2 linked regions of the Neodiprion lecontei genome follow. The protein of the gene in region 1 purifies or fractionates together with the protein of each later gene. This does not show direct contact. Links are inferred from orthologs where the notes say so. Each region holds a gene or a part of one and is shown in the gene's direction. Other genes may lie near its edges. The genes, in order: coatomer subunit beta' and coatomer subunit zeta-1.

The links.
Region 2: the proteins of coatomer subunit beta' (region 1) and coatomer subunit zeta-1 fractionate together in Homo sapiens (co-fractionation; 6 studies listed by BioGRID and IntAct, with this or other methods). This does not show direct contact. The link is inferred for Neodiprion lecontei from reciprocal best matches to the Homo sapiens genes COPB2 and COPZ1.

What each region holds. Positions count from the first base shown.
Region 1 is NC_060263.1:41,043,982-41,048,967, reverse strand, and holds the start of coatomer subunit beta', read left to right. Parts: upstream 1-1,881; 5' UTR 1,882-2,222; coding exon 2,223-2,225; intron 2,226-2,631; coding exon 2,632-2,983; intron 2,984-3,090; coding exon 3,091-4,029; intron 4,030-4,159; coding exon 4,160-4,395; intron 4,396-4,526; coding exon 4,527-4,865; intron 4,866-4,977; coding exon 4,978-4,986. UniProt on the Homo sapiens protein: The coatomer is a cytosolic protein complex that binds to dilysine motifs and reversibly associates with Golgi non-clathrin-coated vesicles, which further mediate biosynthetic protein transport from the ER, via the Golgi up to the trans Golgi network.
Region 2 is NC_060264.1:32,063,774-32,067,826, forward strand, and holds coatomer subunit zeta-1, read left to right. Parts: upstream 1-1,682; 5' UTR 1,683-1,799; coding exon 1,800-1,817; intron 1,818-2,114; coding exon 2,115-2,360; intron 2,361-2,553; coding exon 2,554-2,687; intron 2,688-2,857; coding exon 2,858-2,948; intron 2,949-3,091; coding exon 3,092-3,139; 3' UTR 3,140-3,269; downstream 3,270-4,053. Other genes in the region: heat shock 70 kDa protein 14, read right to left, coding at 1-544, 624-1,057, 1,223-1,303, 1,505-1,570. UniProt on the Homo sapiens protein: The coatomer is a cytosolic protein complex that binds to dilysine motifs and reversibly associates with Golgi non-clathrin-coated vesicles, which further mediate biosynthetic protein transport from the ER, via the Golgi up to the trans Golgi network.

The sequences.
Region 1 (4,986 bases):
GTATACAACAGGTTCATGTTGAGGTACAAAGTGTGCGCCACGACTTGAAGCAGACGCTAATTCGCTACAAGTAGACCGGTCAAGGACTTTCGATCAAAAGTGGATATTGTCAGACGATAGTCACTAATGTTCGTTGTTTAGCCTGAGGCACCTGATCGGGATGTGATCGGTTAAGCGTTTCGAAATCCCTCGAGAATGAAAGACTCATCTCCGATCAAATTTCCCATTTTTTAACATAAATACCTGAGCACTGATGCAGTAAGAGAAACTGCATAACTTTTTTCACTCAATTTCGCGTTACCGCCAATTTGGTGCTTTGAAATCATTTAATCCCGCTTAAAATATCCGCTTCGAAATCTAACGGTAGAAATTTTTTCAAACATGTTTTGTGTCGATACTGGAAAATATTATTTTTGAAAATGTTGGCAATGCTTCAACGACACATCGATATGCCTTGACATCAAACGTATTCGTTGGTCAGTTTTGTAAAAATAATTTGACAAATCGCAAAAACATAGCGAGAACCTCTAATGCTTACAACATAAAAATATTTATGTGTATTCTGTGTGAAAGACGTGATTTTCCACTCTAGCCGTATTTTTTTGCATATCTTGAGATTGTTCGATCTAGGAATGAAGCAACTATTTGCGAACCAGTAGTTTACATAAATAGTTTTTATCAAGTAACAACGGATCATTAATCATCATTGTCCGATCACGATTTCAATGCACCCGTACTGCGAAGGATACCGAACTGATTTTAAAAAATTAATCATCAAAATAACAATCTTAAATTCATAACTGGTTCAAACTTTTTTGATATTGCTGAAAATCGAATCGCATCTCACGAGGCATATCCTCATCCTTTAAATTTCAGGCTGTGCGGGAAATTCGGTGGATATGATTCTGTATTTCTAGATTGTAGACATATATGTACGTTCGCAAAAATGACGACCATTTTCCGTATCCGTTTATACTACAAAACTACGGGCGTTAAAATTCTTTTGTAATTTGTGCGATTTCTTATTGGCTTTTTTTCTAATTGTCTTACAATCAAGCGAAAATAGATAATGTCGTCTAACTACCAAAGTGATAGAAACTGCCGGTAGATACTCCAAGACATATGCAAAGTATACGTATTAACGTATGTTGAGTTGCCAGCAATCTGGCGTTCAATAAATTTGTCTACCGACTACTGCTATATACCGGTTTTTCGTATTAGCTGAAAGCATTTCTGATGATTGGCGCATATCAGATAGCTAACGCTTACTTACCATCGGAAAAACAGTCGTTAATGCGGAGCATGCCATTCATCATAACAATTTGCTACTCTCGAGATTCAAAATCAAAATTGTTAGTGTTGGTAATGTAGGCCTGCCTGATAAGAATCCGTCAAATTTGTCGTGACAATCCGATTAAAATGGCAACTGAATATTAGAATTACAATCTCGTAGTCTTTACTAGCCGACAAAAATCATCCGCGCAAAGAGAATCCTGAGTGAGTACGTAAACCAGTTTCACTCGCGTATGCCTCATTTGCTACGCCCTTTGACGTAAAATAGATTTTTGAAATTCATTTTCCAGATGACTTGCACGGCAAGTGCAGGTCGGTTATCCACCCATACTTCTACCGTAGTTGGCGTCGCGAAAGCACTGAGTGACAGAGTATATTCTTACCATACACAGACTTCTATATATAGGCAGAAATCTGTGTTACCATAGCAAAGTGCGACAGAGCCTTGAAGCAAGCGGATCATAAGCGGAGTAGGCTGCCCTTGTGCGCACTGTGACTGGTGTGAAGTGAGCCGTTCGAGTCCCAATCGATGCTGAAAAAATCGACACAGCAAATCCACCTAAACTCGATATGATTCGATATTTTCGATATAGCCGCACGCGCAAGGCCACGACGGCACTCGATGTCACGTATAATTCCCTCTAACTGAGCAACGTACGCAAATGAAGATTACATTTCGTCAATATTGTAAATGGTGAATAAAAATCACAGTTTTCACTCCTGTGGATGCTTGGAAACCGTTTTGATCTTATCGAATAATCTGTATCATTTCATCAGAAAGTAAAACCGTCTGCTACATGATGCGCCATGTTCGAGCCACGTCCTAACTTCATGGCAGCGGCTTCGTGTTTAGGTTTACAATAAGTATATTTCATTTGACATTTTAATCCCTGTTCTAAAGACCGAAACAATTACAACAATCATCAAACATGGTAAGTTCAATAATGGTTCAGTTTGTATCTATAAAATGTATTTATAAGCCGTCGAACCAATGCTAGCCGATTATCATTTGACAAACCCCTCACCGCAATCTTTTCTGCACTTCACACGTCAAACCTTTCTGACAGCTTTTCCGCTATAAATTTCAACTGAATATATTTTCGCACCTGCAAAACGATTTCAAAATCTTTCTTCAATTTATGATAAACACTCCCAAAACAAAAACAAATCTCAAGTACGGAATTCACCAAATTTCACCTATCTAATGATTAAGAATAAATCCCCTGTACGACCTCTTGACGCTTGAAAGCTGCAAAAATTTGTGTTCGATGCCATACCAGCCGTTTTTCAAATACCGGCGTCATTCGTTTTTTTGTAATGTAACTTCTTCAATTGTAGCCGCTGCGACTAGACATTAAACGCAAGCTGACGGCGAGATCAGACAGAGTAAAGAGTGTCGATCTTCATCCATCTGAGCCATGGATGCTGTGTTCGTTATACCAGGGAAATGTCAACATCTGGAATCACGAGTCACAGACTTTGGCAAAGACTTTCGAAGTCTGCGACCTACCTGTCAGAACAGCAAAGTTTGTTGCAAGAAAAAATTGGGTCGTCACTGGCTCTGATGATATGCAAGTTAGAGTTTTTAACTACAACACATTGGAACGTGTTCATGCGTTCGAAGCACACAGCGATTATGTCAGATCCATCGCAGTTCATCCCACCCAACCGTTCATCCTTACCAGCAGTGGTTTGTATTATTTCATCAAGTTTTTTATGTCACTTAAACTGACTAATGAAGTCTATGTAGATGAAATCATTGAATGTTCAAAATAACCTTATTATATTTAACTACAGACGACATGCTGATAAAATTATGGAACTGGGACAAAGCTTGGCTCGGCCAGCAGGTCTTCGAGGGCCATACCCACTATGTCATGCAAATTGTGTTCAATCCAAAGGACAACAACACATTTGCCAGCGCATCTCTGGATCGCACGGTAAAAGTCTGGCAGCTCGGTTCATCGACAGCCAATTTCACCCTCGACGGACATGAGAAGGGTGTGAACTGCGTAGATTATTATCACGGAGGTGACAAGCCTTACCTTATTTCCGGAGCTGACGATAAGTACGTCAAGATATGGGATTACCAAAATAAAACCTGCGTCCAAACCCTTGAAGGACACACACAGAATATATCTGCAGTGTGCTTTCACCCAGAGCTGCCGATTGTTTTGACCGGTTCAGAAGATGGGACAGTTAGAATTTGGCATGCTGGTACATACAGGCTAGAGTCGTCACTTAACTACGGCTTTGAAAGAGTTTGGACGATTTCCTGCATGCGGGGATCTAACAACGTCGCCTTAGGGTATGACGAGGGTAGCGTAATGGTCAAAGTCGGTAGAGAAGAGCCTGCCGTTTCAATGGATTCTTTGGGCGGGAAAATTGTATGGGCAAGACATAGCGAGGTGCAACAAGTAAACCTAAAAGCACTGGGAGAAGAGGCCCAGGATGGAGAGCGGCTTCCGTTGGCTGTCAAAGATATGGGAGCGTGCGAAATTTACCCGCAAACTATACAACACAATCCAAATGGGAGATTTTTGGTTGTTTGCGGGGATGGTGAATACATTATTTACACTTCGATGGCTCTGAGAAACAAGGCTTTCGGACAGGCATCGGAATTTGTATGGGCTGCTGATTCGAGTCAGTATGCTGTTAGAGAAGGAACAAGCTCTGTGAAAATCTTCAAGAATTTCAAAGAAAGAAAAAGCTTCAAACCCGATTTTGGGGCCGATGGTAAGTTTTCGCCTTGAATCAGCTATGGATAGATTTTTCGTAATCTCACTGACCTCGAGTAAAATAAACGACTATATACTTTGAATAATCCCAAAATTACTCCTATACGTTCAATTTCCTATTGTTTTAGGCATCTTTGGTGGATTTATGCTGGGAGTATCTTCCGGCTCTGGTCTTTCCTTCTTTGATTGGGATTCCTTAAAGCTGATTCGCCGCATCGACATTCAGCCGACGCACGTCTACTGGGCAGAGAACGCATCACTGGTAGCGCTAGCGACTGCCGATCAATACTTTATTTTAAAATTCCATGCAGATGCTGTTAATAATCTGCCAGAAAACACTGAAGATATCGAAGATGCATTCGAGGTAAGTTCACACGTTTTTTAATCAATACCTCACCCTCATGCTACAATAGCATTAATCATATCCAATTATAATGATGTTCCAAGTACCGTAATTATGGTCAATTTATCTAAATGAGAATACAAACTTTTCAGATGGTCGCGGAAATGAGTGAGGCAGTGAAAACCGGTCTCTGGGTAGGCGACTGCTTCATTTACACCAACAGCGTAAATCGAATCAATTACTTTGTCGGAGGCGAAGTCGTCACCATATCACATTTGGACAGGCCGATGTATCTGTTGGGTTATGTTCCACGAGACAACAGGCTTTACCTATGTGACAAGGAACTCTCCGTGGTTTCATACTCTCTCTTGCTATCCGTACTGGAATACCAAACCGCAGTTATGCGAAAAGACTTTGAAACCGCTGACAGAGTGCTGCCAACTGTACCAAAAGAGCATCGCACCAGAGTGGCTCACTTTTTGGAGAAACAAGTAATACTCTCATTCGTTTTTTCTCAAGCTCAGAAATCTTAATTCACAATTACTATGCACAACGAAAAGAAGCAGCAGAGTCGAGTTTCTTTAATCCAAAATTTTTTCACAGGGTTTCAAA
Region 2 (4,053 bases), on another chromosome or scaffold:
CGCACCTATCGCCATACATTCGTCAGGGCTCCATTTTCCACTGCACACTTCACCGTTAGAGAAAAGGGCGCCAATTTTCTCCTGAAGTTTTGGAATCTTCATTGTACCTCCGCTGAGTATAATCTTGCTTATATCATCTGTGCCCAGTTTTGTTTCTTTTAATATTTTGTCGACGGGTGCAATATACTCCGATATGTTTGAATTTATCAGGTTCTCAAAACGAGCTCTAGTTATATTATAGCTAAAATCAACTCCGTCGCACAAAGATTCTACAAAACAGTGCGCTGTCGACATTGTCGACAAAACATGTTTACACGTCTCTGCGGCTATATTCAACTTTGACATTGATCTCCTGCTCTCCATTGGATCCAATTTCCATTTACTCATGAACTCGCCTGCCAAATATTCAGCTAAAATTTTCGTCAACTTGTTACCACCTAAATCGTGGTAGTACGACGTCGATACAATCTGGTATATGCCACTGACTACTTTGACCAATGTGATCTCACTGCTCACACCTCCTATTCTGTAGACTAGCACGTATCTGTGAAATAAAATTAATGATAACAAGGTCCTTGTACAATTGGGAGCGAGCCTTCAGGCTTGTGAAAATAACTACAAACCCTGACTCTTTTCTGTCTTGACCAATCCCATAGGCCAAACACGCAGCAGCAGGTTCGCTAATAACTTGTAGAACTCTGAACCCAGCAGAGGAGGCAGATTTGCTCCACATTTGAATGCTAGCAGAACTGAATCTGAGCGGAACGCAAAGTACGACGTTGTGCTCATTGTCATCATGTGCTGCGGTAGTGGAAATACTGTACATGACCTCGAATATTCTAGTTGCAACTTCGACGGGAAGTATTTTCTCCATCCTTTCATTCCTCTTTATTAAATATTGTACTGTGTCTTTCTCTGTTATTATTTTACAGGTGCTACTCTTTACTGCTAACTCCAGCTCCGTCTCGTCAATGTTTTTATTCATTAATCTCTTATTGTTCAATACAGAGACCGGACCATTCCTGAAGAGTCCAGCCTTGGCCGCCAAGCCGATCACCTTGAAAATTGTAATGGATAGACGTTACAACGCTGCAATAGGATAAATTTATAAAACACTAGTGGCAGGGGAGCGAATAATTCAAGGCAAACTAGCGAAAGAAAGGATGCGAGAGCAGATCCTAACCTAAAAATGTTATAGATATGCCGTAAAATAGAGTTTCACCTCTTCGGTTTCGTTGAAGGCGACCACAGCCGCGGTGACTCGCTCGCCGGCTTCGTTTGCGACGACGTCAACGTTGTCATCCTGTGAAAATTGATTGAATCAGGGTTATTGATGTGACGTTTTGGCTAGGTTAGAACGAGGCAGCGCGTCCATGTGTCATACATGCGGTTATCTTCCAGTGATAAAATGGTTGGAACTGACTGGTTATTATGAGACGAAAATGCGCCTCCCGCCCGTCAAAAAATATCCAGTTATGCTAGAAATTATCCAGTCACAATTTACCTTAAATATCGCCAAACAGGCTGAGGTGTTTCCTAAATAAAGACCGAATGCGGCTACCGATGCCATGTTTGTACATTCTGTAGAAGCACGAAGCAACGGGATTCGGTTCACGATCAGTTACGACACTGTGGTTACGACTTTCTGCGAGATCACGGATGCCGATCAAAACATGCTACGACCCTTTTTATCGACAGTAGCCTGCAAATTATAACCAAAGGAACGCAGGAACTGAAATCCGAATCGAGCAAATTGACACGTAAACAGAGCGGTTGCCCGTTGACTTTTACGCGAAAATATGGACGATCAGTTGCTGGTACGTTTACTATTTAAATATGTCTTTTTCCAACCTATTATTTAAGATCGAACAATCATCCGACGGGCTGACGGTTCTCTGTCATATTCCTGACCACTTATGTACGGTCGTCGAATATTTGACGGCTTTTGACTGTGTCGCTTCGACTCAACCTAACCTAACCTAACCTAAGAATTTCTACTTAATTTATTTCGAATGACGTTACTCGTCAAATTTAATTGGTTCATCTGTTTTTTCCAATGAATCCATTCTTTTCGTTGAACAATCTTATTATAATGACGTGTCTTTTTTTATCAGGAACCCTCACTATACACCGTCAAGGGTATGGTGATACTGGATAATGATGGCAACAGAATACTGGCAAAGTATTACGACAAGAATGTATTTCCAACTTCAAAGGAGCAGAAAGCCTTTGAGAAAAATCTCTTCAACAAGACACACAGAGCTAACACAGAAATTATCATGCTGGATGGTCTGACGTGTGTTTATAAGAGCAATGTCGATCTATTCTTCTATGTAATGGGCAGCTCTCGTGAAAACGAGGTTTGTCATGTTTTCTTTTGTTCTTATCTTTTTGTAAATGAACAATGCAAATATCTACTTCTAGCTGCTCATGTTGGCGAATAATAGGATTTTCACTAACCCAACTGGTCAGGATTTATCATTAGCTTCTTTGACAGTGAATAATTCTTTGTTAAACTATAATTAGAGATTTTTAAATCATTTCACGTTACAGCTAATTCTTATGAGCGTGCTGAATTGCTTATATGATTCCATAAGTCAAATTTTGAGAAAGAATGTTGAAAAGAGAGCAGTGCTTGATAGTCTGGATATTGTGATGCTGGCTATGGATGAAATCTGCGATAATGGGTAAGTTTTCTGAGATATTGGATTTCCAGATGATTGAAAAATATTTGTATGAACTAGTAAAGCTAGTTTGCACTACATAAAAAAAAATTCCGAAACCCATATGAATTGAATCCGAGCTCAACTTATGGTTAATTATTCCTCATACAAATTAAGATATTTCTGTTATTTAGTATTATTTTGGATGCCGACGCAAGTAGCGTAGTGACACGGGTAGCACTGCGAACAGACGACATTCCACTTGGCGAGCAAACGGTAGCACAGGTGAGAATGTATACCCCTTATTTCAGTCTTCACTTTCTACCATGTCTCTTTTTCCTATATTATGAAATATCGATCTTTCAGTGTAATCCTATCGTGACTTGTCTTTAGACTGTAATTAATATCTAACCATTTTAATCTTACAGGTTATACAGTCAGCAAAAGAGCAACTTAAATGGTCGTTATTGAAGTAATTTAATTTTATAAAATTAATGTTAAGAAAAAGTAAAAAATTGAGCACGTGACGTGAGTGAAAAAAAAAAATATTACATGATCTATGTGAATAAACTATGTGAATAAACTAGCAACGACTATGATTATAAATCGTTAAAATTGATTATATGAAGTATCGTCACATGAAATTGAATGAGGAAAAACTTTCAGTTTTACATCCATGTGACGCCCCGGTTTTCAGTCGAATATGCATTGTAGTTTACGTGATCGCAAAGCTGAGTTTACGTCAATTATTTATTTTCGTTTCAGTCAAATTTGAATCAGAGATTTAGCCTTTTTTAAAATTCTGGCTCACAGCCACCAGCAGAGCGCTGCGGGCACCTAACATGACGAAATACTTGACGCGTGACTGGATAAAGGAAATTCCGGTACACTTTTTCTCTCTCGTCCTGTGCCGTGATTGGATGGGGAAACGCGATTCAGCCAATCACAGCGCAGAGCGAGAGAAACAGAGTGTACTGGGACCCTCTTCATCCAATCACGCATCCGAGCATTGGAGGAGCGTATAAGCTCGATGACCGGATGACTAAATCACATCGTGCAGCCTGCAGTTGCTACTATCAATAGTTACCGACAAAGCACAGAACGAGTTTGTGGAGACGTTGGAAACGGTGTGCCTACAGGTGGAACCATTATCGGTGCACGGTTGTCTGTGATACTTCCGTAACACATAGGTATGTCCATAATAGAAATAAAAGTGGGAATAAGTAAAAAACAGGATTAATTAAAACGGTATATCATATATAGCCATCATCTCTGGGACGTAAACAATGTACGGTGTATTCTTGTCTCGAGATAACGGATCAACGATAATGTTGGTACTCTCCATTTTTATCAACGAATCGACTGCAGTGCCTCGGGTCGTATGTTACTT